Mus musculus: one gene and its partner. Each later gene encodes a partner of the first gene's protein in a complex. Links are inferred from orthologs where the notes say so. Each region holds a gene or a part of one and is shown in the gene's direction. Other genes may lie near its edges. The genes, in order: Flt3 and Flt3l.

What was found.
Region 2: the proteins of Flt3 (region 1) and Flt3l are in contact, whole or in part, in a crystal structure (PDB 7QDP), measured with the Homo sapiens proteins. The link is inferred for Mus musculus from reciprocal best matches to the Homo sapiens genes FLT3 and FLT3LG. Residues at the interface, in NP_004110.2 of Homo sapiens: Asp180, His279, Gly280, Phe281, Gly282, Met300, Ser301, Thr302, Tyr303, Asn306, Arg307, Met309, Arg311, Ser333; in NP_001191431.1 of Homo sapiens: His34, Ser35, Pro36, Ile37, Ser38, Ser39, Asp40, Lys44, Lys87, Glu99, Asn102, Thr103, Glu104, His106, Phe107.

Annotation. Positions count from the first base shown.
Region 1 is NC_000071.6:147,372,672-147,376,492, reverse strand, and holds part of Flt3 (receptor-type tyrosine-protein kinase FLT3 precursor), read left to right. Parts: intron 1-734; coding exon 735-850; intron 851-3,774; coding exon 3,775-3,821. UniProt on the Homo sapiens protein: Tyrosine-protein kinase that acts as a cell-surface receptor for the cytokine FLT3LG and regulates differentiation, proliferation and survival of hematopoietic progenitor cells and of dendritic cells.
Region 2 is NC_000073.6:45,130,442-45,133,506, reverse strand, and holds the end of Flt3l (fms-related tyrosine kinase 3 ligand precursor), read left to right. Parts: exon of another isoform or gene 1-84; intron 85-1,094; coding exon 1,095-1,279; coding exon of another isoform or gene 1,280-1,369; coding exon 1,370-1,393; coding exon of another isoform or gene 1,394-1,417; 3' UTR 1,418-1,438; exon of another isoform or gene 1,439-1,912; intron 1,913-1,940; exon of another isoform or gene 1,941-2,075; 3' UTR 2,076-2,318; downstream 2,319-3,065. UniProt on the Homo sapiens protein: Stimulates the proliferation of early hematopoietic cells by activating FLT3. Synergizes well with a number of other colony stimulating factors and interleukins. Required for the development of B cells, and dendritic cells (DCs).

The DNA of each region.
Region 1 (3,821 bases):
ACAAACCAGACCTGCACACGATAGTGATAACACCAAGGGTGTGTGGTGAAGTGGGCAGATCCAATGCTGCTCCGAGAAATAAAACCCAAGGCACCGGAGAGATGGCTCAATGGTTAAGCACATGAGCTGCTCTTCCAGTGGATTCAGGTTGGGTTTCCCAGCACCCACACTGCCACTTGTAACTGTCTGTGACTTCAGTCCCAGGAGATCTGATGGCCTCCATGGACACTGAGTGCAAGTGATGCACATAGATTCGTGCAGGCAAAACACTCATACACATACAAGAAGAATAAATGAATATTTATATACATAAATAAATATAAATATTTAAAATAATTTAACTTTAAAGGTTGATGTACATATGTAATTTGTAACCTTGATATGCCCTGACAAAATAAGTATTTTGTTATTGGGTATGAGATACATCTGTACAAAATGTTTATAACAACTAATAGTACCCCATAACCTTGTAAAATTGCGGCTTTTCCCACTGCTATAGCCCTCTTCTACTACTGAGCCAAATCTCACTTCTGAGGGTGGGTGTTAGGTACAAGTCACAGCCGAGCTGATTGTGCCCAAGATGAGCCTGGGTGCTGGACCAGAGCCGGGTTCTGCACAGAGCAGCCCTTAGCCATAGCTTCGAAGACAGCGCTCACCCTCTGACTCATGGAGAAGCTGAGGCTGTTAGTCCTGAGTGTTTTCCAGAGAATCCAGTCCTCTTTCTCATTCCGCAGAGGAATCGTTTCCATGGCCATCTTGAACGTGACAGAGACCCAGGCAGGAGAATACCTACTCCATATTCAGAGCGAAGCCGCCAACTACACAGTACTGTTCACAGTGAATGTAAGAGGTAAGTGTGGCCGCCTCCTGGGCACTTCCTGCGTCCCGAGGCAGTGCGTGCTTCGGGACCTAGTGTGCTTCCACTCATCTCTGGGGTCACCAAAGGTAGCTACTCAGGACTTTTTAACACAGACCTGGAAGAACTGCAAAGAGTATTTTGACTTGGGAATAATAATAATAATTTTTTAAAAAATCCTGTGTCTCCAAATTTTTCCCAGGCTAACCTCAAACTCAGTATGTAGCTTTGAACTCACAATCCTCCTGCCTCATCCTCCTAAATCTTTTGATTGCAAGCACTTGGCACCTTGCTGACTAAATGTCCTGGGTTTTATTTCTGGTTCTAATACTATGAGCTTTTGAAGGGGAATGAAAGCCCATACCTCCGAGCTGGGGCGGTGGCTCGGCAGTTAAGAACACTGGCTAGTGTAAGCAGGGGACATTTTTAAAAAATTTTTTATCTCATGTGAATGAATTAAAATCTGAAAATAGATAATCGCATACAGCCAGGGTGGCTGCTGAGGATGACATTGGTTTTTGCAGATGTAAACTGTCAGACCGGTGCCTTAACTGGCGCAGACATGGTGCTACATGTACCGTGCACCCTGTTTTCCTTCCTGTGACTGCAGAGGTGGCTGCATGTAGAGCCTTGTGTCTTTGGGGGCTCAGGCAGTGCCACAGGCTCAGGGTTGGCACCCACTAAGCTGCCTGCTGCACATTGCTAGGCTGCCCTTTTCCCTGTGGATGACTCGGATTCACGAAGCTGAGGCAGTGTGCAGCCACAGAGGGGCCTGTCAGGAGTGACCATGGTCAGGAGTGACCACGGAGGCCCTTCCCTATGGACCTCCGCATGCCCCACCTCAGGTGCTCACAGAGGTTGGCCTGTGTGTTGATATGAACACAGACACCTGATGTGTTTGTGACTGGCAAAACTGGGGGCCCACGAGAGCCATTTCTGCACTTGCTTGTCACCCCACTTGGAGCCTTGGTGGCATTTGTGGTCCTATCGTCATAGCTCCTAGTACTGGGGGACACTCTAGGTTCCCCGAGGGTCATCATCCTGGATCACACAGTCAGCCTGCATGGCAAAGTCAAGAACAGAGTGGTCTCACCCATTTTCTCAGAGAAGTGACTGAAACAGGAACACAAACCCAGAAGTACACAACTCAGGAGCTGTCTTGTGCTGCTCTTTGCCTGGGCCTCCACCCCTGCCCCATTCCTACCTCCTCAGGCCTCTGGTGGGACATTTAAGTGTGGGCTCTTTGTCCAGTGAAGATACAGGCTCCACGGGCTCCTTCTTTCTCTCTCTTTTGCAACACTGTACAAGCAGTTGTGTTCTAGAAGATTAACAGATTTTTTTTTTTCTGAGACAGAGTTTTACTATATAGACCTGGCTGGCCCTCTGTAGTCCAGGTTGCCCTTGAATACACAGACATGTATGTCTGTCTCTGCCACCCATGTATGGCACAAAAGTGTGTGCCACCACTCCTGCCTCTATGCTGCTTTTAATTTTACATTATTTTTCAGATGAAAAAATACAGAGCAACCATGATGGCAGAACACTTGGGATTCCTTCAGTTAAGGCAGCTTAGGGAGTGGGGGTGGTGTGGTGTGGGGAGCTGCGATGCGGGTGGATCAGATGGAGTGATACAGGGAAAGTTTGCCCCAGGACCCCTGAGCTAACTCACACAAATAGTAATTAGCATAGTAATTAGCTCCCAGTGGCCTCAGCTCCTAATTGAAGATGCTTAAAGCCAACAGCAAGGTTTTTCTTTCCTTAAGATAAGGTCTCAGTGTGCAGCCCAGACTGGCTTTGAACTCCTGATCTTCCCACTTCCTGCACTGGGGCTTACAGACACACATCACCACCCCTGGCTTCAGTGCTCTATTTAAGAGAGGGGCAAGCCCTTGAAGTAAGGAGGCTGTCCAACCTTTGAACACCACAACATTGCTATTGTGGTCTGCAAATGTCTTGTCCCCATTCAGAACAGTTCTGGGAACATGACACTTAAGGGTACTGACAGGTTCGACAAACTCTGATGTCCCTACCAAAGTGTAGAATGGGAACCAAGTTTAGAAATTACAGGGATAAAAGATGAAAACTACCGCAGAATGAGAAAAGATACTTGTAGTCTACAAAACTATCTCTACTATTAACTACAGATAGATAGTAACAATATATAAAGAGCATCTATAAATAAACAAGAAGCAAAGCTAAAGCAAAATATCTCCTTTTCAGTAATTGAATAAAACCGTCATTATTTTTGTGTGTGTATTTAATGTATGTGCATATGTATGTATGAGTGTGTGTGTGTGTGTGTGTGTGTGTGTATGTGCATGTGTGTGTGTAAGTTCTAGTCTAAATGGCAGGCTAAGCTCAGCCGCTAAATTCTGCTCTAGTTTTAACTGCATCCTAATGTTTCTGCCTTTCTCCATCTTATTAACTTGCACCTAGTTGTAGATGAAATGATGAGAAGAAAGTAAATTTTAAATTTTTGTAAGAGCTGACCTCTGTGTTCTTGCTCTTTTCCTCTCCTTTTATACCCCATCTCCTGATTTCACCTTACTGATTTATCTATGGACTTGTGAACCCTAAGAAACTAACAACTGTGTGAAACCAGCATCACACATGGCATGCTGATGCATGCCTTTAATCCCAGCATCGCTTGGGAGGTAGAGGCAGGCTGGTCTCTGTGAGTTTAACATCAGCCTGGTCTACAGAGCAAATTCCAGGCCAGGCAAGGCTGCAGAGTGAGACTCGGTCTCAAAACAAAACAAAACAAAACAAAACAAAAACCTGACATCACCTGAGGCTGGGGAGGAGCCAGACTTTGCTGTGGTGGGATAGATTAGCTGTTTAGAAATGCCGTGGGGATCTTTGAGGGGCTGCTGGGACCATCCGAAGTGTTAAAACGGTCATGTTTCGTGGTGCCTTAGATACACAGCTGTACGTGCTAAGAAGACCTTACTTTAGGAAGATGGAA
Region 2 (3,065 bases), on another chromosome or scaffold:
GATAGGGTCTCATTATGCAGGCTAGGCTGACCCTGAACTCAAAGCAATCCTCCTGCCTCAGTGTCCTGAGTGCTGGGATTACAGGTATGAAGCCAGAACATCTGGCTTCCTTTCCTTTCCTTTTTTTCATGTTTTTGTCATCATATATTATGTATAGCAACGTCTCATGTCATCCATGTCTGCATTTCCATCACACCATGACTTTCTCCTGTGCGTCCTATCTCACTGATCCCCTTTCTCTCTCCAATGGTCCCTCTCCTTTCTTTCCTTCATATATATATGTATATATATGCACATATATATACATATACATATATATATGTATATATATATATATGTATATATATATATATATTTTTTTTTTTAAAGCCAGTTAGGCAGGTAGCCTGTAAGAGGGCACTTTACCCACGGCTAAACTTCTGAAGAAAATGTTTCTTCCTGTTTAGCAACCTTCTAATTGCTATAGATGCCCAGGAAAGGACAGGCCATTCCTTTTTATGGCCCCAGGTCACCTATCTTTGAGAAGGAGACAGAATTTCCAGTATGTTTATCTAGGGCAGTCCTGTGTACAGGGAACGTACACGGAGTGAGCATGGTTTCTGGGTAACAATACCAATAGCCATGCTCACTGTTTTCTCTTTTTTCCCCTCCCCTCTGTTTTGACGGTGTTCTTTTGAGACAGTCTGTCTCTATAGTCCTGGCTGCCTGTAGCTTGCTATGCTGACCAGGCTGAGATCCCTCAGCTTCTGCTCCTGACTTCTGGGGTTGAAGGTGTAGACCAGGATGCCCAGCCATGCTCACACTTTTTATCCCCAGTGTTGGTTTATTTTTCAGTGTTTCTTGATACATTCCTGTCAGTCCTACAACTTACTATGTAGACCAGGCTAGCCTCAAATTCACAGAGCTCTGTCTGCCTCTGCTTCCTGAGTGTTGAATTGTTAAAGGCGTGGTCTGCCAGGCCTACCTTATGCCCCCAGGTCTAGGTTTTGTTGTTAATAGGCTCCTCATGAACCACCCATCACCCGTATTCTCCAGGACGTTCCACGTTTGCGCTGATGAGCCCCCTCAGTTACCTGCTTCTTCTCTCTCCCCAGACTCCTCCACCCTGCTGCCCCCAAGGAGTCCCATAGCCCTAGAAGCCACGGAGCTCCCAGAGCCTCGGCCCAGGCAGCTGTTGCTCCTGCTGCTGCTGCTGCTGCCTCTCACACTGGTGCTGCTGGCAGCCGCCTGGGGCCTTCGCTGGCAAAGGGCAAGAAGGAGGGGGGAGCTCCACCCTGGGGTGAGCCTAGAGCCTAGAGTCCAGGGCGGCTGGATGGAGTGGGTGGCGAGGGATGAGGGGGGCAGGTGGCTGACCTTGTGGGGGCCTCAGGTGCCCCTCCCCTCCCATCCCTAGGATGCGAGCCTTGTGCATCGTTGACTCAGCCAGGGTCTTATCTCGGTGAGTCTTCCACTTATACTGGAGCCTGGAACAGCCAGGCTTGGGGGTCAGTCCAGGATTTGGGGAGCTGTCTTATTGTCTCTCACAGGAGGGGCGGGGATTCAGGGGAGTGGTGTGTATGTCAGGGGCAGCACGGTCTTGACTAAGTGTCCAGTGTGACAAGCTCAGGGGTTCGGCAGCTCCGACAATCGTAAGCTGTGGAGAGCCGGGAAGGCTTGTGAGAGAGCCTGCTGTGAGAATGAGCAAGGGGGCAGAAGGCGGGTGCCCTGCCAGCACCCGTATTTTAGAATATGATGTGTCTTACACTTGTAATACCTCTCGTGTGGAGGTTACACCTGTAATCTCAGCCCTTGGGAGCCCAGAGCAGGATTGCTGAATGGTCTGGCCACTCTCCACTACAAGGTGAGTTCAAGGCCATTGTGAAATACACAGCCAACTCGTCTCCTGTCTCAAATAAACAAACAAAAACTCTCAGTTAAGTGACACTTATTTTTTTTTTCAGATGAGGTCTCAATATGTTGCCCAAACTGACTTTGAAAACCTCGATGCACCTTCCTGCCCCACAAACTTCCAAACAGCTGGGCTTACGGGCATGCTATATACAACAAGGCTTTCTTTTCTTCTTTCTTGGTGCTAGAGTTGGGAACCAAAACAAGGAACAAGCTAGGCAAGTGCTGTGCTGAGTTACATCCCCAGCCCAGAGGACACACTGTCTGGGTATGGCGATGGACACTGTAATTCCAGTGCTTCTGGATTGGACATGCTGAAACTGGAGGATACTGACTTTAAGAAAAACAGAAAGGAAGAAGGGGGGTGCGTTGTAGCCCTGTGTGGTTGCTTTTGTCACCTCCACCCCTTAAAATAAAAGCAACTGCTGGGTATGGTGCTGCGTGCCTGGAATCTCAGTATTCAGGAGGCTGAGGCAGAGGGATCAAAACTTCAAGGCCAGCCTGGGCAACTTCAGGAAATGTGTGTCAAAATAACAATGAAAAGCAGAAATGCTGGAACTGGAGCTTAGTGGCAGGATCCCTGCACATGTAAGACTATGGCTCCTAATCGGGGCGTGGTGGCGCACGCCTTTAATCCCAGCACTTGGGAGGCAGAGGCAGGCAGATTTCTGAGTTCAAGGCCAGCCTGGTCTACAGAGTGAGTTCCAGGACAGCCAGGGCTACACAGAGAAACCCTGTCTTGAAAAAACAAAAAGCAAATGAACAACAACAAAAACCAATTAGATTGTTTACATTTTTTAAATTTAAGTTTTTAAATTTTGTGGTTTCCCATTTCTGGGCTTGTTTCTGAAACACACAGCCATAGTGATACATGTCTGTAAAACCAACTCTATTTATTAGTTTTTGAGATAGGGTCTATGTAGCTCCGATGGCCTGGAATGTGGGTGCAATCCTCCGGTCTCTACCTCTGGAGTGCTGGGGTCACAGGTGTGTTCTACCACACCTGAAAGTAATTCATCTTTTTAAAGAAATTACACCAGACCCCCCCCCCAATAAATTGAAAAAAATTACACATGGGGAGCAGGCAAAGTGTATTATGGCACCTGTATATAAGTCAGAGGACAACTTGTGGGTAGCTGGTTCTCTCCTTTCACCATGTTGGTCCCAGGGATGGAACT